6 linked regions of the Macaca mulatta genome follow. The protein of the gene in region 1 interacts with the protein of each later gene in a pairwise test. Links are inferred from orthologs where the notes say so. Each region holds a gene or a part of one and is shown in the gene's direction. Other genes may lie near its edges.

Region 1 (3,996 bases):
TGCGTCTTACTCGAGTTTTGTTTTCTGAGTTAGAGGCGACAGGTGGTGCAGCATTAGACACAGGGAAGCTCTGTGGCTTTTGTATTCATGAGCGCGAAGGTTAATGACGGATCCGTGGGTTTGAGCTTGTCAATACAGACGCCAGACAGCCCGATTTACGGGAACAGCCGATTAGAGGATTGGAGAGGGCGGTCGGTGAACTTCTGGATGTCTTTCGTAAGGGGAAGGCTCTATGGTCGCGTGCAGAGCGCCCGTTCCACGTCAGGCACCGACCATAGAGCAAGGCCGCCGCGGACTACCCAAGGGAAGGGGAGGCCGTGTCCTTTACAACTAGCCTCCCGTTGTTAGTCTAGTCTCTATAGTCAAACCTTCGGGACTCTCTAAAGTCAAAATTTTGCTTTTACTAAAGGCAACTGGGTTCCTTCCAGATTACGAACTGTATATCCACTTAATATCTATTTCGTATACCTCCTCCTACAGCGAAATTTGTGAGGCAGTCCTCTGAAGCACGGCCAATCTGGGGCATTTTTCCTAAAACGAGCCATCTCTACGCTTTAGTGAGCTAAGACAATAACTGCGATTGGTGGGCAGATTGTTTTGAAACCGCCCTAACGGCAAGGGGCGGGCCCCTGGTGAATTCATCTCTTTCCGGTTTCTTAAAGGCAACAGGAAGGAGGGGTTTCTGACGACCCTCCATTTGATTGGTTCTAGTGGTTTTACCCGCTCGGACTCCTCAAGGGGCGGGAGATATACACCAATCGGAATGTGTGTTACAGAGACACTTAGTTTGATGAAAGGACTGCGCAGGAAAGGCCGTCGGACGCTCATTCTGAGATCTCACCGCTGATTGGTCCAAAGGGTTACTCCCTTATTTTCATTGGGCTTTACTGCAGCCGGCGCGCGAGAGCTACCCAATCAGCGCACGCTCCGCCTCCTGCCTTTTCCCGCCCTCCGCTCCGGCCTCGGCTTCGACGTAGGCCAACGCTTCCTACCCGGTAGCTCGTAGGCCTTCTCGTTGCCGTTGTTTTGAAAACCGCACTCTGATTGGCTAGGTTTCCGGGCCCGCGCCCGTTGCCCCATGCACTGACCAATTGGCACTCGTATTACATCGGACGAGGCACGGGTGAAGGGGGAGGCGGTGGCGGCGGCCATTTTGAGCCGCCGCCGCCATTGGAGTGGGCCCCCCCCCTTTCCCCCTTCGCCTCCTGACAGGAAAGGTTTAAGGGGGACAGAGCCCTGGGAGGCCGGGCCGGGCTCGGGGGCCACCCCGGGGGCCCGGGCCATGGATGTGCGCCGTCTGAAGGTGAACGAACTTCGCGAGGAGCTGCAGCGCCGCGGCCTGGACACTCGAGGCCTCAAGGCCGAGCTTGCTGAGCGGCTGCAGGCAGCGTTGGAGGCCGAGGAGCCTGACGACGAGCGGGAGCTCGAGGCCGACGACGAACCGGGGCGACCCGGGCACATCAACGAGGAGGTCGAGACCGAGGGGGGCTCCGAGCTGGAGGGGACCGCGCAGCCACCGCCGCCCGGGCTGCAGCCGCACGCGGAGCCCGGCGGCTACTCGGGGCCGGACGGACATTGTGAGAGTGCGCGGGGCGGGGGCCGGGGAGCCCGGAGCCTGGGCCGAGGAAAGGGCTGTGGGACGCGGGAGTCCAGCGCCTGAGGTCGGGGAGACGACCTGAGGATCGGGGGATCCCGCTACCCGCCGCCGAAAAGGATCTGGGGACAAGGGCCCCGGCACGACCGGAGGGTGGATCCAGACGCTCGGTGCAGGGGGCACACTGGGGGAGGGGCCTCTGGGTTTCGGAGGTGAGGGACGGGGGTGGCGGGGAGGATTCCTTACCGTAGGGATCGGAGACCGGAAACTGGTTTCTGGAGCCGAAGAGAGTCGGAAGAACAAGAGGTTTTCCATTTGGGTTGGGAGGGTCTCGAAAATGGAGATCTTGGGGTTCGGAGCTCCTTGGGCTTGGCGGCCTGGCCAGCCCAGCGTGTGGGCTGCGGGGTGGGGAGCCGTGTTTCCAGGGTGGGGAAAGAATGTCCAGGTGTGCGGGGCTGCGAGAGTTTTGAGGAAGCAGAATCCTGGAGTATGCCGCTGGATGCGATCCTGGGAGTTCTCCTATTTGCTTCGGGGGTGGGTGGGTGAGGTGGAGGCGCTGGTGTCTGTGGCTGGGGAGGGTCTAATGGACTCAGTGCTTTGGAGTTTGGCTGGTGAGCATTTAGGGGCTGCGGGAGATTGAACGAGGGGGCACCCCCATCTCTCTTCCGGGGCTGGAAGGCCACCCTTGAAGCAGGCACAGCCTGGACATTTGGTGCTGGGAGATCTGGGGACTTTCTGGTTGGCTTCTAGAAGAGGTGTAGGGAGCCCTGGTGTCCAGAGGCTGGAGGGGGAGAGGATTTTTCCCTCAACAAAGGATCTGGGGGTCTAGAGCTAAGAAGACTGAGGACAAATAACTCTGAGGCTGCTGCTGAATGGTCTAGAGCTAACTGTGGGCTTTTTGGAGAACGGGGTAGCTGCGGGTGGGATGGGGGCAGATGAGTTGGTAACATTCCAAGTGGATGAAATATGTGGCAGGAGACAGAGGATCCTGTGTCCAGCACAGAAGGAGTATGTATCTGGCTTAGCGAATATGGGGAGGGGGGAGGCTGTAGGGAGCAAAGAGAAAGAAAACCTGTTGACTTCACTGGAGGCCTCAGAGTGGAGTGTGGGGAATGTTTCTGGACCTGAGCGTCTCCCAGAGATATGGTCGGTTCCCAGAAGCAGTTATTTGTGTACCCAGGGAGTGGGGGCCTTCAGCGGGAAGCACAGAACTCTGCATCAGCCAGGAGGTGTGACTCTGGGAATGGGTTCGGGTAGATCTGCGGTTGTCTGAGGAGAGGAAACCCTGGTATAGGACGGAGTGAATCTTCAGTTAGAAAAAAGCAACTTTCGGGCCGGGTGCAGTGGCTCACGCCTGTAATCCCAGCACTTTGGGAGGCCGAGGCGGGCGGATCACAAGGTCAGGAGTTCAAGACCAGCCGGGCCAACATAGTGAAACCCCATCACCCGTCTCTACTAAAAATACAAAAATTAGCCGGGCGTGGTGGTGGGCGCCTGTAGTCCCAGCTACTTGGGAGGCTGAGGCAGAAGAATCGCTTGAACCTGGGAGGGGGAGGTTGTGGTCAGCCGAGATTATGCCATTACACTCCAGCCTGGGCAACAAGAGTGAAACTTTGTCTCAAAAAAGGAAAAGGAGCTTGCTTTCTTTCTCTTTTTTAAAAATACAGATGGGGTCTCGCTATGTTGCCCAGGCTGGTCTTGAACTCCTGGGTTCAAGTGATCTGCTCACCTCAGCCTCCTGAAGTGCTGGGATTACAGGCATGAATCACTGCACCAGGCCTCAGGGCAGGTTTCTAGTAGGACTGGGAAATGGGGGGACTGGAAAGGTTAAGGAGTAAGTAGAAGGGATTCTGGCGTAAGAATTTGTGGAGTTTTTCCGAAAAGAGGGCACCATGGGACTTGGGGCTAAGGGAATGAGGACAGAAATGAGGTAACAGTGGAGACAAGATTTGGGATTGGCATTGGATACTTGTTCATAAGAGATAGAGTTTCCCGGAGGGAGATAACTCGAGTGTGGATTTGGGATAGGCAATGGCCTAGAGATTATCTAGGATCCAGGTGCTGGAAAGAGAACTTCCCATTGCAGAGACTTGTGAAGAAAGGAGTGGGCCTGTGTGTGTGTGTCTAGAGCAGGAGGGACCGTGGCAGGAATGCCTAGCAAGAAAGGGTAGTGGGGTAGTAGTTACCTGGTGGTCTGGCCAGAGAGTCGTCTCTGAGAGGAAAGCGAATTAGGTGCTTTGGAGCGTAGATTCTAGACTCAGACAGACTTCGTTTCAAATCTGGCTTAAAGATATTGGCAAGTCACTTCATCTCTGTGAGCCTGGTTTCCTTACGTGTAAAATGGGGTTAATCAACAAATAGTGTGTTCGCTCTAGCCCCCGGGGGTGTTATGAATGAAATCG
Region 2 (3,500 bases), on another chromosome or scaffold:
CAGGCTCCTGTCTGCTGGTGTGGTCTGGGCGCGGTCCTCGCTCTGCTCCTGGCTGCTGCCTGTCTTCTTTCTGGCGATGCTGTTTCTACGCCGGGCCTTCTGCAGCTCGAGAGTGCTGGTGGGAGGGGTGCAGCCTCTCCTCCAGCCCGCGGCTTTGCTGGCTGCCCTGAGCAAGCCTTTCTCTGCCTCCTTTCAGGGTGGCTGATTCTCATGTAGGTGTCCTTGGGTTTCAGGCATTTTCCTCCCTCAGGACAAGGCTGGGTCTCTCACTTATCCCTCGGGGCACTCCCCAAGAACAGGAGGGGTGAGCTCATGTGTGCAGAGGACTTTGGGGGACCCCCTGCCCACCTACGCTGGCCCCTCTCTCACGGTGTATTGCTGTTTTCTGTAGTCGGACACCTGGCCCTGGGGAGTCTCGTTGGGATGCGGTGGTCCCTCCAGCCTCAGTGGTCCGGGCGACACTGCACCCCTGTGTGCACAGTGCTCCCTCTTGCCTGTCTGCTCGCCTGGCCGTGCTGTGCTGAGCTGAGGGACTCCAGAAGCCAGTACTGTTGCTCTTGTGTTTTGCTCATATTTTTAGATGTGGGGTGGCGGGGTCAGGGGTTATCAGCTGTGGCTCTGACCCTCCATCTCAGTCCAGAACTTGGCATGGCTCTAGGTCACAGGCAGTGATTCTGAATGTGCATTTCTTCCAGAAACTCCACTTGGAAATGTTGGCAGACCAGCCACGAACAACTAAATACCACAGTGTCATCCTGCAGAATAAAGAATCCCTAACGGATAAAGTCATCCTGGACGTGGGCTGTGGGACTGGGATCATCAGTCTCTTCTGTGCACACTATGCGCGGCCTAAAGCGGTGAGTGGGGTCTCGAACGCTTCCCGGGTGTTTGTGCCAAGGCTGGTGATGTCCGAGGTGGCCTCTGAGTGTGCTAACTCGTGACCCTGAGCTGTTGAGGGCTCACTGATGACTCCGTGGTGTTGGTGAGCATCCTTGCACGTGCAGCTCAGGGTCGGTAAAACAGCAGTGTGTTGAGACTGCATGCTAGAGGCTGTGGCGCCCACGTAATGAGTCACAGCACAGACAGGAATAGAGCAGAATAGAAAATATCCCATGAATTGCACAGGGCGGGGTATGTTCTGTGAGACATTTATTTCAGTTGAGTAGACAAACAGGTGCACCCACATGTCTGTGCTGGGCCTTGGGTATGGATGGTCCCACGGGGATGGGAGGGGTGCACACGCTGGGCCCCCTCCCCACTCCTCTTGGGCCATCTGTGCTGTGCTGAGCTGAGCCGAGCCGCAGCCTTGGAGACTCCTTACACAGTGGGTGGGGTCGCAGCACAGTGTCCACCCAAGTCCAGGCTCTGCAGGACCCAGGGCCCAGCACTTGGGCACTTCCCACCAGACCCTTCCCTGAGACCCTGGGTTTGAAACTGTCTCACAGGCCTCAGATGTGGCACAGACCAGCATTGTCACTTGGGTGCTCAGAACTTGCTGTGCTGGTCATGGATTAAGATTGCTGTGCGTGTGGCAGCCGACTCGGGCATGCGAGGCTTCCGCCCACTTGCAGCCCTGCGTCTGTGTCTTGTGCAGGAGGTGGGGGCAGTCGGGAGGGTTAGAGGCGGCTCCTTTCTGGGTGTCCCTGGAGGGGCAGGTGTGGCCCAGCCCTCACTTTCTCTGCTGTCTGGAATACTGCTTCCCTCTTGTGTCATTGACCATTTCTCGTATGCTGGTTGTGACTCAGGAGAGTAGATGACGGGCCGAGGCTGGGCGTGCACTGACGGTGCTTCTGCTGCTGCAGGTGTATGCGGTGGAGGCCAGTGAGATGGCACAGCACACGGGGCAGCTGGTCCTGCAGAATGGCTTTGCCGACATCATCACCGTGTTCCAACAGAAGGTGGAGGACGTGGTACTGCCCGAGAAGGTGGATGTGCTGGTGTCCGAGTGGATGGGGACCTGCCTGCTGGTGAGGGGGGGCGTGCGGGCAGCTGGGGGCCAGGGCTGGGGGGCTTCTGAGCACAGGCTCGGCTGGGCCAACCTCAGGATCTGAAGAGTCATGCATGATTCATTTTGATGTTTTCCCTATTGTGAGGTATAATTAATTTCTTGTGTGCACATTGGCTCAGTGTCTTGAATTTTCACCTGATTTAAAAAATGCCTTTATGAGAAATTTAAGTCAAAGTTCATGTAACATTTTCATGAGTGATTTACATGAACTGTGTTCTCGGGAATCTGTAAAAATCCTGTGCCTAACAGGTAAGGCTGTTTCTTTAACGCCAGTAGGGCCTTCGTCCCTGGCCAGGGTCTTCTTACCTTAGACTGGCCCCAGTGATGCTGTGAAGCCACTTGGGCATCTGTGGGGCCAGCATGTGCCTGGCCTGGCCTGGGTCGTTCACCCTGAGTTTCACATGTGGGTGGAAGTGGACTGTTTTCTGGTTGCTTGCGAATATGCCCTGCACAAACACTGTCTGCTTGGAGGGAAAGTGACAGGAGTGTGGCTGGACGCTGTCTGCCTGGTGCTCTCCTCCTGGGCTCAGCATCCTGGAACACAGGACATCGGAGTAGAGCATCCCAACCTGAAACTGCGTCTCAGTGTAGAGACCCAGAAAGATGGGGTCTGGGTGAAGGAGTGTGAAATATGGCTGCTGCTTCTCCAGGAAACGGTTTCCCGTGGTAACAGATGGCATTGGCTTTTAGTCCTGTTGAAATTTTGTTGTCAGAAGATAAATGTAAATAGACTCAATGTCCATGCTGTGACTTGGCTTATTAATAACGTCTGTGGAGCCATAAGGTGACACACTAGAGAAACGGGCTCCACTCCCAATCCCTGAAGGGGCTTTCACCTTTGCCCCTGAACAGCTGTGCCCATTCAATAAGTGTCTGTTGACAGCTCGTGCCTGGCTACGGGGACAAAAAGAGGACAGAAGAGGAGTGAGGCTGTGGTGAGGCCAAGGGTGTGTGGGCACTGATGTGGGGAAGCCTGGCTGCTGCGGTGTCCGGCTGTGCCCTGGGTTGGGTGACAGGGACACAGGAGGGACGTGGGGCAGAGGGAGGGGAGAGGAGTAGCCACTGTGTTCACCATGTTGCTGTGTTCCGGGGCTGCCCAGTGGCCGGATTGGCCAGACTGTGTTGCATCAGGGAGGCAGAGGCCAGATGTAGGGTACTGTGTGTCTGAGGACTTTGTGCCACATCCTGGACACCAAGGGGAGTGCCAGTGGTGTGTGTGAGTGATGGAGTAAGAGGTGGGCTGTGTTTTGGAGGCCCCTGGGTATGTGTGGCCGGGACCAGAGGCCAGGGACTGGCTGTGGTCCAGCCCCAGCATGCAGAGGCCTGGGACAGCCTGTGTGAAGGGAGGCCCCTCTGTGTGGGAGGTGCACAGACTTCCAGGACTGACTGTGGCTTTACTGTCAAGATGTAGGAGCCAGGGCTTGGCATGGCGCAGGTGTGGAGATGCAGAGCAGGGCCAGCAGGCAGGATGTGCCGTTGGGGGCTTGGCATG
Region 3 (4,244 bases), on another chromosome or scaffold:
CCGCGGGAAAGATACCATTGCGCTTATCTGGCAGGACAGGCGACCCGTCCCCGTCCGGCGGGAGCAGCGAGCCCTTTCTGGGCTCTGACCACGCCCCAGCCGAGAACTCCGCCCGCAGGTCGCGGGCCACTTGGTCGCATCCCTCCTCCTCGTCGACTTCGCCTTCACCCCAACTGTCCCCCTGAGTAAAGGAGGAATATGTTGGCCCAGCCACAGGGCCCGGGGTCCCGGGACGGCGGCGCCGCAGAGCCGACCGCCACCCGCTCTCCGCTAACGACATGGCGCGAAGCACAGCGAAACCCGCGGAGTATGAGCCTCTCCCACCTGCCCCGCCCCGGGTCCGCAACAGCCAATCCGCGGCCGTGGCCGCTACCACCATGCCTCAGAACCCAGGGGTAAACCACGGAGAGCAAGGTTGGGCGGCGGGTTGCAAAGGAAGTCGTAGGGCCTGAGGCGAGGTGGGATGCGCTTGGACCAGAGCTCGACCCCAGGGCTGTAGCCGGAAGGGGGAGCAGGAAAGCGCGCAGCGAGAAGTGGGCGGAGGCCGAAGGCGGCCGAGTATCCACTCCCTGCAGCGCTTCATCCCTGCCGGACACCTCCGCCACTGCCGCGTCACCAACGGGAGCGCGAGACCCGACAGCCCCAAAGCCGCATCTTTTCGACGCCGGGTCCTAGCGCCCTCCCGCGCCTTCGACACATTCCCGAACCTATTTGCCTTCTCCCTTCTTCCCCTCTACGCTCACACTCTTCTCCAGGTTCCCCTATTAAGAAAGGGCAGCTCTCTGCCTGGTACTCTGGCGGTGCCTTCACTGCTCACCCCATCTCCCTTTAGTGTGGTTCTCCCCACCCGTACCACAACTTCCCTCACGCTACTCGACACGCCTCCTTCCTCCTCCGCCCAGGCGCGCGCTCTCCACCTGGTGCGTACCGAGCTCGAACCCTCTCCTCGGAACCCCTCCTTTCGCCTTCCCCGCCCCCTCCCCTCCGCCTCGAGCACTGCGCGCGCGCATTCGGTCCCAGCCACCGCTAACACTAGAGGCTGCTTACCCCCGCCCCCTCCACCCTACCCCTGGCGGCCTCAGGTTTGTGGGGCGTACGTAACTCGGGCGGGGAGGGGGAAGGTGGCAGACCCCACTGCCCCACCCCCTACGGGGTGAGGCGGTCTAAGCTCGGGAAGCTGGGACACGGTTGTCTTCCCTTCCCCTGGGGAAGTTGGTAGAGTTTTCCCGACGGAGGACTCGGCGCAGAAACTTCCTCCGTCCTCCCCCCGCCCCATGCAGGCGACGCCGAGTGAGGCTGAGGCTGCGGGCGAATCGCCGCAGAGTTGCGTGTCGGCCGCGCATTCTGATTGGACAGCGGGAAAGCCCGTCAGCCTGTTGGCCTCGCTGATCCCGCCCCGTAGCGCAGGGCAGCCTTTAACCTTTAGCCCCAGTGGGCGCCAGCCACTCAGATCGCTTCTTGTTGGTATGTGTAGCGGCAGTGGCCGCCGGCGGAGCAGTCTGAGCCCGACGATGAGGCCGGGGACGGGAGCTGAACGTGGAGGCCTCATGGTGAGTGAAATGGAGAGCCATCCTCCCTCGCAGGGTCCTGGGGACGGGGAGCGGAGATTGTCCGGCTCAAGCCTCTGCTCCGGCTCTTGGGTCTCTGCTGACGGCTTCCTGAGGAGACGGCCCTCGGTAAGGGATCAGTGGGGCAGGGGGAAGGCGGCACAATGAAAAACGGAGTGAGAGAAACAGGAAGCTTTCTCCGAAAGGAGAAGAAGATAAGAGTGGACGAAGGAAGAACTCGAGATGGTGGGATATGTTGTGAGGGAGAGAAGTGGAGGGTGGGGATGCACAAAGAAGGATGTGAGACCCTGGAAGTACCCCGTAGGCTTGGCCTAGACAGATGCGTGGTGAAGGTGCTGGCTCTTGGGCGGGGTGAGCGTCTTGGAGCTTTAGGCCCGATTTAGCTGGAAGGGGGAGGGAGGGGCTTGATTCTGTAAGACTTTAACAGCGGCTGCCAAAATTTGTTTTCATTACTTGTGGGGTCGTCTGCATGGGGAACTGTTAGGACAATTGACAGGAGATAATTAGCTGGTTTTAATTTAAAACATGGAACAATGGACTCATCGGTAAAGAAAGTAGTTGTCTTTTTAAATTGCGTTGAAAGGGATGAATTAGTTGTTTGCATTTAGTGTCCGTGAGTAACAGAACCTCAGTCGTTAAAAATGTATTTTTGACAGAAGGAATTTTACCTGTCTTAAAGGTTATGTTAGGAAATAAGTTTGTTAGGAGTGAATTGTCCCTGGGTGGCACTACTGTTTGTGTTTTATAAGACTGACTTTCACCTGAGTTAATATGATAGAGCATTTTAAAGTTTAAAATCAGTAGTGTTATAAAATAACAATAGCTGGCTATTTTTTATATTTGCATGAAATAGAAGAATTGTTGTTTTCACTGTAACAGTTTTAAGATTAGTATTCAATATGTATCCTCCAAGCTTAGCAAGCCAGTTAGTAGCTGATTAAGTCAATGCTTAAAAAAAAGAGAAAACCTATGATCCAGCTGTCCAGTAATCATCTTAACTTTTCCCGTTTTGTTGCGGAATTTGCAAGCTCGTTTTAAATACTAGCAGAATGCATTTTGTTTAAAACAAGGTATAGATTAATCCAGTGACATTATTATGCATAAGCTTAATATTAGGTTGCTTCAGATAACTGATTTGTTGAAATGAGATTTTTGAGAAGCGTTTAGTATTATTTGCTCATTTAAAAACGTTCGCTGTTTTTCAGATGGGGCACCCTGGCATGCATTATGCCCCAATGGGAATGCACCCTATGGGTCAGAGAGCGAATATGCCTCCTGTACCTCATGGAATGATGCCACAGATGATGCCCCCTATGGGAGGGCCACCAATGGGACAAGTAAGAATGCTTTTATTTTATTTTGCATTTATTTATTTGTTTTTGCCTCAGGTATTCTGTCAAGATTTCAAAATCTAGGTCAATAGTTATAGCTGTTTAAGGATTAGTTTATGCCCGAATAATTTTAAATAAGCCAAATGTTGAATCATGAATGTAATGGAAATTTGAATGTAATGAAAAAGTCTCCTGAGAAATTTACTGATTACCTCAAAACTAAGAATTTTTTTTTATTATTATTTAAAAGTAAAGTGTGCGTCCAGGCTTTTATTTTTAATGATTATTTTTTCAACCATGCCAATTGAAGTTAATGGTCTAAAAGTAAATATTATCTGATACAGCAACATAACTGATTTTGGTAGACCATGTAAATAAATAGAATCTGAAAATAGCAATTGTTTTGGTTTAGAGCGAATTTTATTCCTGAAATATCTTCCTCTGTGTGTGTTGGAGGAGAGTGAGGGAGGGTGGGGGGTTTGTGCTCTATAATTCTGATTCTTCATAGGACAGTGCCAGTAGGTACTTCATTTTCCACTTACACTATTTTTTTTAATGCTTATTGCTTCTACACTCCTGCTTATGAGCTGTCCCTTCCATCTCTAGCATAAATTGTAAATGGACATTTTGTAGAAGTGATTTGGATCAAAAGGTTTTAATGCTGATTCAGTGATTTCGGTAGAACTGAGTTTCTAGAGAAGCATCTAAGAAAGGTAACAGGTTCAGTTACCATGAGTAATTTTGTGCTCCATGTTAAGTTCTATATAGATCTTTAGGTGGCTGGGTTATTTCCATTTGAGTATTTCCATAAATCATCAAAAATTTAGGCTAACAAAATATTTTGGAAGCCAATTTCATGTGATCTTTTGCTAATTAGTACTGTTTGATAATTGTTTAAGCTTTCATGGTTAAAGTTATTGGTGAAATTGCAGTGGGAAAAGGAGCTTGCTATGTGTCTGTCTCTTTTTACTTAACCTTAAGAGTAGAAGGGCTTAATGTCAAGTGATTTTCCTCTTTTTTTTTTAATTTGGAATGTTGCCCTTAATTTTGTTTAAAAAAAAAACAAAAAAAAACCTTTATTCAAAGACACCAGCCCCAAAAGATTCTGCTTGCAGGAGTTCTTTAAATAAAAGAGCCTTTTATTCTGTGACTTTAGAATAACACAAATTTTAAAACTCTCTAGGTGATGGAGAAACAACTTTGATTCCTCTTCTGTTTCTTTCCATCTCTAAGCAGCAAGGAGCTCTTCTTGTTTTCTTGGTAGAGCTGCTCTAACTAGATAATGAGCTTTAAAAATATTTATTCTTTAAATGCTCTGGTTCTTATTTAAAATTAGTTTCTTTCC
Region 4 (4,004 bases), on another chromosome or scaffold:
CGCCGGGAGCAGGAGGGCTTCCGGCAAAGCCGCGTGCTCTCGTCGGGCAGGCGCTAAGGACTGGGGCCGGCAGCGCGCCTGACCCCGCCCCTCGTAGGCCCCGCCCCGTGCTCGCAGCCGGGGGTTTCCATGGTGATGGTCAACAAGCCTCAACTGCCTCTGCTACAACTGCCAAGTTCCCCGCGTCCCACCCTCCTCTAGGTGCTCCGAGGGACCACCGGGGTGCCTGATGTGAGAGCGGGAGCGTAGAGACTCGGAGGCCGAGGTGAGGGGTGGCCGAAGTCTCCGACGTCGAAGGCCGCACACCCGTGACCGAGCGGGGACCGGGTCCCCCTGGGGGTGTGGACAGTGGGCCTGGGATTTGAGATTGGGGAGACCTTCCGAAGTCCAGGGCCCCGTACCCGGACTACCTGGGGTTTGGGCCTATTGGGGTGGGTGGGGCTGGGGCTGGGATTTGGGATCAGGGAGGAGAGATCTGAGTTTAAGCGCCACGCATCTGGGACCGATCGAGGACTGCACATAATGAGGGGCCGCGGCGCTGAGATTTGGGGGACGGATTCGAGGTCGAGGGGCCGGTACGTGGGACCGACGAGAACTGGACCCCCTGGGATCGGGAGACGCAGTGTCGGAGGTCGAGAGCCGCACGCCCAGATAGTGGTCCCACGCGGTGAGCACCGCGGGCTGAGATTTTGGAGTCAGGGGCTGCCGGGAAGACACGGCCGGCCGGTGCGTTAGTTCAGCCTCCTGGTCGGGCGCTGGCGACCACCGGAGGGCTCTGAAAGTGAGAACAGGCCTGGCTCAGTGGGAGGCCCAGCCGGGAGGATCTCTTGAGCCCAAGAGTTCCCGACAAGCCTGGGCAACATAGTGAAACTGTCTTTGCTAAAAAGTTAAAAAAAAAAAAATAGAAAGCCACGTGTGGTGGCGCGCGCCTGTTGTCCCAGCTACTCGAGAGGCTGAGGCGGGAGAGTTGCTTGCTCTGAGGAGGTCAAGGCTGCAGTGACAGTGACTGTGCCACTGCATTCCAGCCTGGCCGATGGGAGTGAGACCTTGTCTCAGAAGTAATAACAGTAGTAATAATACCTGAATAAAATGAAAGCCGCGCGCTCACGTGGCTGTAGGCGCCTGAGAGTTGCACAAGACTTCCTTGTGGGGAGTTGGCTCCGCCCTCCTCCCACGCCCGGTTCCCGGAGCCTTAGCTCTCTGCCCTGGGCCCATTTTCTTCCTCGGCGGCGCCGCGTGTCCTCGTAGCGCGGTCTCTGTGTTGGTCTCCTGCTCCTAGAGGTACCGTGTTTGTATCTGGGGTGAAAATCTGACTCGTGCGCGCTCTTCGGCTTAGTCGTCTTTTTTTTTTTCCCTTCTGCTTGTGTGTATGAAGCATTTTCGTCGATTCCGCCCTGCTCCTAGGAAACTTGAGGACGGGGCCCGGCTCCTGCTGCGCCGGCTGCCCCGCTCCCCCAACCGCAGAGTCGTGGACCAGGGTTTTGAGGAGCAGGGCACCCGACTCGCCCTCCCCGCCAGACCGCCCAGGTCGCGGGGACCCCTCCCGCTAGGTGCCTGGGATCCCCGCTCGGCTCCGCGTGTGTCCCGGCTGGAGGGTGGAAGGAGAGCCGAGCTCGGCCATTGCCCGCGGGGCGCCCTTCGCTGCGGCTTTTCGGTCTCCGAGCGGCCCGGGGACGAGCTAACGCGCCTCTTTAGTTTTCGAAACTGCTTGCGGGCGCTGGGGGCTCGGGCCGGCCATCTGCGTGGCGGGACAGGAGGCGCGCGCTGGCGGCTGCGCGCGAAGGGCAACGGGCGGCGACGGCGGCTTCCCGGAACCGCGCGGGGCGGGCGCTGCGCCGGGGTCAGGGCCACAGCCTCAGGCGGCAGGGAGTTCTGAAAGTGTTGTCTTCAGTCGTTCCTTTCAAAAAGTCATCTTAATTCTTCCAAAAATATACACATATAATTCTTTCTACTTATATTTTTAAAAGTTAGATACGTGGTTGTCTCTGAATTCCTAGTAAGATAAAAATTCATTGGGTTCTCTAGGTAGGTGAAAGATATCTTAAGTGCTATCCCTGAAAAGTGACTCGTTGCTTTTACAGAATTTATAAAATAAGACATTACTACTTTAATGAATGTAAAGAGAGAGATTGCTTTATTCCTAAGCAAAAAGATCTTTTGCCTTGTAGGTATTACATTCCGGTGTGCATTCTGTAGATTAGAGTCACTGCCGGCCGGGCGAGGTGGCTCACGCCTGTAATCCCAGCATTTAGGGAGGCCGAGGTGTGGGAGAATCGCTTGGGCGTCAGAGACCGACCCCGTCTCTATAAAATGATATATATATTATATATATTATTTTTTGAGACAGGGTCTCACTTTGTTGCCCAGGCTGTGTGATCTCGGCTGGCTGCCGAGATCCTCCTGTGCTCAAGGGGTCCTCCCACCTCAGCCGCCGAGTATCTGGGACCACGGGCATTCTCCAGCACGCCTGGCAAATTTTTGTATTTTTTGTAGAGATGGGGTCTCCTTGTGTTGCCCAGATTGATTTTCAAACTTTTGTGTTCAAGCGATTCTCACGCCTCTGCCTCCCAAAGTGCTGGGATTACAGGCGTGAGCCATCATGCCTGGCCACTTTTTTGTAAACTGTGAAGTTTTCTGTTAAGGGTAGCGTTACAAAGCTTTATTCAGGTAAAAATTGCAATTTATTTAAGGGAAAATAGTGAGTAAATAAAGTTACTTCTCCCACGTGGCCAGAACCTTGGAAAGTCTGGAGGCAAATGAGAGCCTAGTGCGGGTAGATGCCTGCAGGGGCTGCAGAAATGTGACAGGCCCTTTCCGTGGAGGTGACTTCTCTAATTCCCCTCCTCCACTGAGCTCTGGTTCTCTGCTCTTCGAGAGAACCACATTAGTTGATTCTTACTAGGTCCTAGAAGTTTTATTCCATTTTCTAATTACATTCTCAGGACTACTGTAAAAGGGGTTGCTATTAGCCCCAGATGAGAAAATGGAGGTTGGGAGAAGTCACGTGCCCAGGGACACAATTGGGACTGGGTCCCAAGTTGGACCGGGACACCCCTCCCCTGCCGGGGCCCTTGCCCTGTCTTAGTTCCCCTGAGCTACGGTTCTTTGGAGGGCAACAGGGTGGGCAGAGGGAGAACAGTCAGCCAAGACCACCCTGGGTTATTTTACAGCAAATCCCAGACCAATAAGGTGTTTATTAATAAATAAATCCGCAGTATTTCTAAGGACTTTTAAAATCTAACCATAATACTGCTATCATACCTAAAAATACATTCCAAAATACCAAGTTTCCAGGGTTTAAATGTTTCCGTATTAAATATTTTAAACAACTGGTTGGTTTGAGTCAGGATCCAAAGTCACACCTTATATTTTGTAGATAACTTTTTAAATTCAGAGCAGCACTGGCCAATAGAAGTATAATGTATGCTATAAATGTAATCTTATATTCTTTTTTTTTTTTTTTGAGACGGAGTCTCACTCTGTCGCCCGGGCTGGAGTGCCGTGCGGGTTTACGCCATTCTCCTGCCTCAGCCTCCCGAGTAGCTGGGACTACAGGCACCCGCCACTTTGCCGGGCTAGTATTTTGTGTTTTTTGGTAGAGACAGGGTTTCACTGTGTTAGCCAGAATGGTCTCGATCTCCTGACCTCGTGATCCGCCCGTCTCGGCCTCCCAAAGTGCTGGGATTACAGGCTTGAGCCACCGCGCCCGGCCAATCTTATATTCTCTAGTGGTAAAAGGAAACGTGATTCATTGTATTAATAATTTAACCTAACATATATCCACTATTAAAACACTTTCGTTTCTCCATGATCTTGACTAAAATAATTAAAAACAATCCTGTGAACCTGTCAAAATCCAGTGAGTTTTACACATACACATTTCAGGTGTGGTGAATGGATGCTGTATCAGTGATCATCTAGAAGTTCCCCTTTCTTAAAGGCCCCATTCCCGGTTATATTTGTCGGGTTGTCTTGCAGCATTCCTTCCCCACACTTCGCATTTT
Region 5 (4,144 bases), on another chromosome or scaffold:
AGGTGTGGTGGTGGGTGCCTGTAGTCCCAGCTACTGGGGAGGCTGAGGCAGGAGAATTGCTTGAACCTGGGAGGCAGAGGTTGCAGTGAGCTGAGATCAAGCCACTGCACTCCTGCCTGGGCTACAAGAGTGAAACTCTGTCTCAAATAAATAAATAAATAAATAGTTATTGGGCAGGCACAGCGGCATTCACCTGTAGTCTCAGCAACTTGGGAGGCTGAAGCAAGAAGACTGCTTGAAGCTGGGAGTTCGAGCCCAGCCGAAGCAACCTATCCAGACCCATCTCTTAAAGAAAAACTTCTCTGCCAGGCGTGGTGGTTCATGTCTGTAATCCCAGCACTTTGGGAGGCCAAGGCGGGCGGATCATTTGAAGTCAGGAGTTTGAGACCAGACTGGTCAACATGTGGAAACCCTGTCTCTATGAAAAATGCAAAAGTTATCCAGGCATGGTGGTACATGCCTGTAATCCCAGCTACTGGGGAGGATGAGGCAGGAGAATCCCATGAACCGGGAAGGCGGAGGTTGCAGTCAGCTGAGATAGCACCACTGCACTCCAGCCTTGGCGAAAGAGCGAGACTCCATCTCAATTAAAAAAAAAAAAAAAAAATGCCTATCATCCATCTACCTACCTACCTACCTACCTACCTACCTACCTACCTACCTACCTACCTACCTATCTACCTACTTACCTGGATTGTAATTCGTTAAGCTGTCTGTGCCCTGTAGATTAAGGGAATGAGATTGGATTAGTGTGGAGGGGGGTTTTATGGATCCAAGCAGGAGTTTTTAAGCTTTTGTACTTTTACGTCACAAGGCGGAGATGTTTGTGGTTCTGGATCTTAGAGCAGTGCCTGCACATAATAGGCATAAGGTTGCCAGGAAATAGAAATACAGATACTCAATTCAATTTGATCTTCAGATAATCAACAAATACTTTTTTAGTATAAATATATCCCATTCTGTACTTGGGACATACATATTACACTGCTGTTTATCTGAAATTCAAATTTAAGTGGGTGTCCTGTACTTTATCTGGCAACCCTACTAAAGAGCTCAATTAAGTATTTGTTGACTTAATAGACTGAAGGTCTCGTTTCACCTGTAAAATGGGGCTAGTACCTGCCCCTGCCTCCATAAGGTTGATGGGCAGAGTAAATGGCACTCAGTGAGTCCTCAATTTATTTGACTGCCCGGGACCATCCGGTGAGCAGAAAGCCCTTCCACTTTCAAATGCAAAGACGCTAAAAATGCCTCCTCGAGGCCATAAGTGCCCAGGCCAGGCCTAGGTTGCCCGCACCTGCGAGCCTGGCCAGCCTCTTCCGGGTCAGGTGACCGCGCGCGGTCACGTGACCCGGCCCGAGTGCGGGCGGTGGAAGGCGGAAGTAGGAGAGGAGTTGGGCGCCGCTTCTGTGGCCACGGCAGGTAGCTAGCGCCGGCGCGGGGGGCGCGGCGGGCTGACTGCCTGCGCGGGGCGGGCCGGGGGCGGCGGGCGGCGCGGGGTGGGCCGGGGGCGGCGCGGCCCGGGCGCCGGGGGGCGGCGGCTTCCTGTGGGAGGGGCCTGGCGCGGCGGTTCCGGCCTCCGAGGAGGGGTGTCCCGGCTCCCGCCCGAGCGGGGTGGGCGCGCCGCGGCCCGCGCGGGGGCTGCTCCCAGATGGTCGCCCGGGCAGCCAAGGGTGCAGCTGGAGCGAGTCCTCCCGGAAGGGGAGAGGAGCTTAGGTGCCCAGGCATGGAGAGGAGCGATCTTTGTGGAGGGATCGGGACCAGGGGAAGGGGCGACTTGGAACTGAGCTGGAAGTGGGTACCTGAGAATGGGTTTATGGTGTGGAGCCAGAGGGAAGAAGATGCTGCCTGGACCCCCTCTGAGAGTTTCTCCCTTCCTTACTCTTTGGAAATGATTGTTGCCAAGACTTTGATGACGGTCCCATTCAGTTTTTAAACTTCAGGAGGGATCACAGAATCCTGGTCGCTTGCTTTCCTCGCGCCCACTTAGTCCTGCGTGGGTAGGGTTTCCACTTCTTGGGAGCCTAGCCCTTCGGCTCATTTTTCTTTGAGATTTTCCCTGAACAGGCCATCATCGAGGCTTTAAAAAACAAAAAAAGAAAATAAATTAAAAAAAGAAGTGTGCGCACTTTGCTCTGCCCATAACATGGCTTTTAGCTTACACTGTTGACCTAGCCCAGCGTTACCTCAGCAACATAGTGACTGCTGAAATCTTGGACAGAGGAGTGTCTACCTAGACTGCTTTATGACTTTTCCTCTTTCTTCCGTTTAAATTATTCAGTTTCCCTTAGCGTGTGACTGCTTATCTTGATGAACTGTAACTAGGTAGGGTGACTGAGAGGTCTGTGTTATGTTCCTTAGAACTGTGACCTGGATCATGATTTTGAGATTAAATACTTGTGTTAAAGCCTGTTCATCCTCCTGTTTCTCATGTTTACTAAAATTTGCAGAAGCGAAGGGAGTTTCATGAGTGCAGTGTAACTGGAACAAATGTTCAAACTGGACATTCACAGCAGCCAGCGTCGTTTTGGGTTACAAGTAGGAAAAAGTACTTTCCTAATGTATTATGAGTTCAAGTTTTTGGAGTTATTTGACAAACATTTAAAAATTAGTTTTTGTAGCAGCTTCTATGAGTGAGGTTGGGAAGGTGTTATTCTCATTTCACAAGGAACAAACAGACTTAAGAGAGACGATTTGATTTTTTAAAACAATTTATTGGTGTTTCTTGTTTGCTGGCCTCTTTTCTTCCTGCTAGATTGCAAATCCTTCAAGGGCAGGTTTCATATTTTCTTTGGCTCCTAGCCTAGTGCCTGGTATGTTGTGGGCACTTGATAAATATTTGGTGAATAAATGCATTTCTAAAAGTCACACTGGCATAAGTGGTGATAAGGGGTTTGAACCCAAGTCTTCTACTCTTTCTCTTGTCAGACAAGCTTGTGATTATCTGTGTTACTGGTCCATATGAAAATAGGCTCGAGAGAAAGACTTGGATTGGCTTCTCAGTCTCTTTCACTTCATGATTACTTTCGCATTTGCAAAGAGCATATACCAACATCTCACTTAACCTTCCCTGTGAAATTGGGGTGGTCAGTATTGTCCCTGTATCACAGATGAAGAGACTGAGGCTTAGTGAAGTCTTTACTTTAGATCCCAGAGCTAGTAAATGAGTAGGCACTCAAGCCCAGGCCCTTAATCCTTAGACCCATTCTTTTTCATTTATTGACACAATGGAAAAATTTATTTTTATTTTATTTTGAGACAGGGTCTCACTCTGTTGCCCAGGCTGGAGTGCAGTGGCACGATCACTGCTCACTGTAACCTTGACCTGCCCGGGCTCGGGTGATCCTCCCATGTCAGCCTCCCAAACAGCTGGGACAACAGGTGGGTGCCACCTCGCCTGGCTAATTTTTGTAGAGACAAAGGTTTTGCTATGTTGCCCAGGCTGTTTTCAAACTCCTGGGCTCAAGCAGTCTTCCCACCTCGGCCTCTCAAAGTGTTGCAATTACAGACGTAAGCCACCATGCCCAACTGAAAGTTTTACATAATTTTTCAGGAATAAAAAGTGTGACATTTTAAGGAAAAAGATCACACAGAAAAAGTTGTGAATGTAGAATGTGAGTAAATGAAGTTTAGAAAATGCTGTACTCTACCATAGCTTCCTCTTCCTGGGAAAACATTCTTTCTTTCAATGAATATTTATAAGTACCCCCTCTGTCTTTGCTAAGCATTGTTGTACAATTCAGTATGGTGTACACTAGCCACATGGGGCTGTTGAGCACAGCAGCTATGCTGTGAGCATAAAATACATTCTGGATTTTGAAGACTTAGCATGAAGAAAAAGTAAAATGTCTCACTGATACCTTTTATGTTGTAGTAAATGATCATATAATATGTGTAAACATGTATGGTAACATTTTGGATTTATCGGGTTAAGTACAACATAATTATAAATAGTTGGTTGGACATGGTGGCTCATGCCTATAATTCCAGCACTTCGGGAGGCCAAGGTGGATGGATTTCTTGAGCCCAGGAACTTGGGACAAGCCTGGGCAACATGGCGAAACCCTGTCTCTACAAAAAATACAAAAATTAGCCAGGTGCAGTGGCGCCCGCCTGGCTACTCAGGAGGCTGAGGTGGGAGGAT
Region 6 (3,500 bases), on another chromosome or scaffold:
TGCTTTTTTTTTTTTTTTTTTTTTTGTCTTACAGTGCAAAGCTTTCTTTCCTTTTTTTCTGCTACCACACATCCTTTTTGCAAGGAAGTTTGTAATATGATAACTTTAGTATGAAATCTGGCAATACTGCTTACTTGATAATTCCAATGAAAGTGACAGTGTAGGGTTGTCATTGTTGGTGAGCTCTATTTGTTCATTATTTTTTCTCCTTCTTGAATTATTTCTAGGAGTAGAAGATGAAAATACTTACTTAGCCATGCTCATACTAGAAATCTTGACTGACTTTCACATTGTTTTATTTCCGCTATAACTTAATTTTTTTCCATTTGCAGTTATAAAAAGTTGATATCTCTGAAAATAACTGATACTGATATAAGACCGAAGATCAGTTTAAAATTTAATACAAAAGGTATTATTTTATTTTTATATGCCTTCTGTTGAAAAGTATGTTAAAATTTTTGACTTCTCTGTCAACTTTCATGCCATAAACAACCACGTCTTTACCGTGTTTGTCATTCACTAAGCTTGGGTTTATACGAGCACTTGGTGTAGGCTGGAAATCACAGACAGGAAGATCAGCAGATGTATGGATCTCACATTACCTTGGCATCCTATAGAGAGGCATGCTAGGTCTGGTGCATAACTATGACTATACCGTGGGATTGTGTTCCAGCAGAGGTTTTCTACCAACCCTTCCTTCCCTTGTTGCATTCCTTCTTAATAGAGCAAGCATTAGAGTACCCTTACATGAAAGGAATGAACATTTTGAGTTTAAGGCCAAGTACTCTAAACTTAGCTGCCAGCTTTTTAGGAGTGTGCTAGGAAATATCCTGCCCAGAACCTGGAGACCTTAATTAAGGGACCGTGGGCCCATGGAAGAATAGTTTGGTGGCAGTCTAGCCAACTTTGTATTTGGTTGGTAACCCAAAGAAAGCTCCCTGTGTCATTAGCTTTTTAACTTTGCCTCCACAGTGTATATCGAGTATTTCAAGCAAAAATGTTAATTTAATAAATCTCTTGAAACATAGAATCTTGAAGGATAAAATAAAGCTGCATTTTGTGAGAAACACATATTTTGATATCCATATAACACCAAATGCCGTCATATAACAAATTATTAGTACTTTCTAATTCACCTCAGCCCACTTTTCTCCTTTGAAAGCACTATTAAAACAGGAAAATACCAAATAGTTCAGTTTCATGCCTTATTCCATGTTATTGATGAAATACCTACCTCTCTTTTTTTGAGGGGGTGAGAAGATGAGTTTTATTAGATCAGAATTTCTCAAACATTATACATATATTTGATATATCTGGCAATTTTGTTAAAAGGCAGATTTCAATTCAGTAGGTCTGGAGTGGGGCCTGAGACTGTGCTTTTCTAACAGGCTCTCAGGTGGATGCTTGATGCTACTGGTCTCTGGGCTACCCTTTGAGTAGCAAGGAGCTAGATCTTTTGGCATTTCTTGATATAGATCTGAGCTATCTAGTATAGTAGTCCCTAGCTGTATGTGCCTACTTAAATTTAAATTAATTAAAATTAAATTGAAAATTCAGTTCCTTAGTCACCCAAGCAGCATTTCCAGTGCTCAATGAGTATTAGTGCAAATATAAAACATTTTATCACACGATATTCTGTTGGGCAGTGCTGATTAGGATAAAGTATAATTGTTTATGTAAAGTAGAGTTAAACATTGACAATTAGCATTCTTGGCAAATTTCAGAATTTTTAAAGACCTAATACTGTGATGTCATTTTGTTGCCAAAGATCATTTACTTGAACAAAACCTTGGATGACTGAAAGACTTCTGTGGTGATTAGTCTTTGTTATTACTTTTGCTTGGGAACATTTTTTTTTTAGATGTTTTGACAGAGATAAAGCAGCATGCTAATTGAGCACTGGCTGTGGCAAAGCCCTGTGCAATCCTTCATTGTTTTGGAATAGTTTTTATCCTGCAGGAGCTTAGGATATAATATGAGAGACCAAATAGAAAAAGAGAATTAATGTGGAATGTCTTGACTTCCCAAAATTTATTTTCAGATGAAATGCCTATCTTCAAGCTTGATTATAATTATTTCTATCATCTGCTTCATATAATTATTATTTCTGGTACTGACATTGTTCGGCAAATATTTGATGAGGCTATGCCACCCCCTCTTTTGAAAAAAGAGCTTCTTATACACAAGAATGTGCTGGAATCCTACTATAACCATCTTTGGACCAATCATCCTTTGGGTGGATCATGGCATCTGCTTTATCCTCCAAACAAGGAGTTACCACAATCCAAACAGTTTGACTTATGCCTCCTGTTAGCTCTTATAAAACATTTGAATGTGTTCCCTGCACCCAAAAAAGGATGGAATATGGAACCGCCATCTTCTGACATCTGTAAATCTGCAGACATCCTGCGACTGTGCAAATACAGAGATATCCTCCTTAGTGAGATTTTGATGAATGGTCTCACTGAGTCACAGTTCAGTTCAATTTGGAAAAAAGTTTCAGATATTCTTCTGCGCCTTGGGATGAAGCAAGAGGATATTGACAAAGTGAAGGAGAATCCCATTGAGAATATCTCCCTTGATTACCATCAGCTATCCATCTACCTAGGCATACCAGTACCAGAAATCATACAGAGGATGTTATCCTGCTATCAACAAGGTACTAAGTGATTATTTACTTCAGCCAATAAACTTCCGTTGATTGAATGTCTGCTCTGTGCCAGGCACAGTGCAAAGGGCAAGAGATTCAGTGAGCTCATGGTTTTGGGAAAATAGACTCATCAGGAGGGTAATAGAAATTATAGTGCTAGAGATGTTTCCAGAATACCATGGGAAATCCTAGGCTGAAGGAGTCCAAAAAAGCTTTCTGGAGAGTGTGATTGTTAAAGAACTATTAATGGTGTGCAAAAGTTAGCCAGGTGAAAAAGATTGAGAAGGATGTTTCAGAGGGAGACAAAAATAAACGTATAGAAACATAAAAATATACTGCAGGCAACTAAAAAAGGTTGGCTTTATTGAGATTAGGGGAGAGTTCATAAGGTACATTCAAGAGGATTTTTTTGTCACATTGAGGAGTTTGCATTGTTCAGACAGAAATCGTTGAAGACTTTTAAGTAGAGTTTTATCACATTAAGTGGAGTTTTATTCTCCAAAATTAGTAAAGTCTAAAACCATGACATATAGGTACTGTGTGGTTTCAAAGATGTTCGTTTAGACAGTGTGGATATATGTTTCTTCTACTTTCTAGCAGAACCTTGTTTAGTTTACAATTTTAGCAGCTATTCGTTGGCTGTAGGTAATTTTAAAAATCAAGTAACATTCATGCAAGTGTTTGTATTGGCCATTCCCCAACTTGTCTGTTGATATGGAAAAGACTTCAGACCTCCTCTCCCACATCTCAGGATACCTTCTCAGCTATTCTTTCGGAAAGCAGAGTTCAAGGCATGACAACATCTCTGAAACCCTGCTGTGCTATTCAGGATGACTTCCTGGTCCCAAGT

Evidence for each region.
Region 2: the proteins of HNRNPUL1 (region 1) and PRMT2 interact in a two-hybrid assay, tested with the Homo sapiens proteins (2 studies listed by BioGRID and IntAct). The link is inferred for Macaca mulatta from reciprocal best matches to the Homo sapiens genes HNRNPUL1 and PRMT2.
Region 3: the proteins of HNRNPUL1 (region 1) and PRPF40A interact in a two-hybrid assay, tested with the Homo sapiens proteins (2 studies listed by BioGRID and IntAct). The link is inferred for Macaca mulatta from reciprocal best matches to the Homo sapiens genes HNRNPUL1 and PRPF40A.
Region 4: the proteins of HNRNPUL1 (region 1) and HNRNPF interact in a two-hybrid assay, tested with the Homo sapiens proteins (3 studies listed by BioGRID and IntAct). The link is inferred for Macaca mulatta from reciprocal best matches to the Homo sapiens genes HNRNPUL1 and HNRNPF.
Region 5: the proteins of HNRNPUL1 (region 1) and WWP2 interact in binary tests that used the Homo sapiens proteins (3 or more experiments, as listed by UniProt). The link is inferred for Macaca mulatta from reciprocal best matches to the Homo sapiens genes HNRNPUL1 and WWP2.
Region 6: the proteins of HNRNPUL1 (region 1) and DZIP3 interact in binary tests that used the Homo sapiens proteins (3 or more experiments, as listed by UniProt). The link is inferred for Macaca mulatta from reciprocal best matches to the Homo sapiens genes HNRNPUL1 and DZIP3.

What each region holds. Positions count from the first base shown.
Region 1 is NC_133424.1:52,406,476-52,410,471, forward strand, and holds the start of HNRNPUL1 (heterogeneous nuclear ribonucleoprotein U-like protein 1), read left to right. Parts: upstream 1-1,196; 5' UTR 1,197-1,282; coding exon 1,283-1,577; intron 1,578-1,751; exon of another isoform or gene 1,752-1,945; intron 1,946-3,996.
Region 2 is NC_133408.1:939,095-942,594, reverse strand, and holds part of PRMT2 (protein arginine N-methyltransferase 2), read left to right. Parts: intron 1-695; coding exon 696-857; intron 858-1,802; coding exon 1,803-1,967; intron 1,968-3,500. UniProt on the Homo sapiens protein: Arginine methyltransferase that methylates the guanidino nitrogens of arginyl residues in proteins such as STAT3, FBL, histone H4. Acts as a coactivator (with NCOA2) of the androgen receptor (AR)-mediated transactivation.
Region 3 is NC_133417.1:57,628,312-57,632,555, reverse strand, and holds the start of PRPF40A (pre-mRNA-processing factor 40 homolog A), read left to right. Parts: upstream 1-1,444; 5' UTR 1,445-1,466; coding exon 1,467-1,676; intron 1,677-2,773; coding exon 2,774-2,905; intron 2,906-4,244. Other genes in the region: ARL6IP6 (ADP-ribosylation factor-like protein 6-interacting protein 6), read right to left, coding at 1-280.
Region 4 is NC_133414.1:55,882,615-55,886,618, reverse strand, and holds the start of HNRNPF (heterogeneous nuclear ribonucleoprotein F), read left to right. Parts: upstream 1-1,204; 5' UTR 1,205-1,281; intron 1,282-4,004.
Region 5 is NC_133425.1:65,382,093-65,386,236, forward strand, and holds the start of WWP2 (NEDD4-like E3 ubiquitin-protein ligase WWP2), read left to right. Parts: upstream 1-1,344; 5' UTR 1,345-1,422; intron 1,423-4,144. UniProt on the Homo sapiens protein: E3 ubiquitin-protein ligase which accepts ubiquitin from an E2 ubiquitin-conjugating enzyme in the form of a thioester and then directly transfers the ubiquitin to targeted substrates.
Region 6 is NC_133407.1:175,012,729-175,016,228, reverse strand, and holds part of DZIP3 (E3 ubiquitin-protein ligase DZIP3), read left to right. Parts: intron 1-332; coding exon 333-409; intron 410-2,041; coding exon 2,042-2,659; intron 2,660-3,500. UniProt on the Homo sapiens protein: E3 Ubiquitin ligase proteins mediate ubiquitination and subsequent proteasomal degradation of target proteins.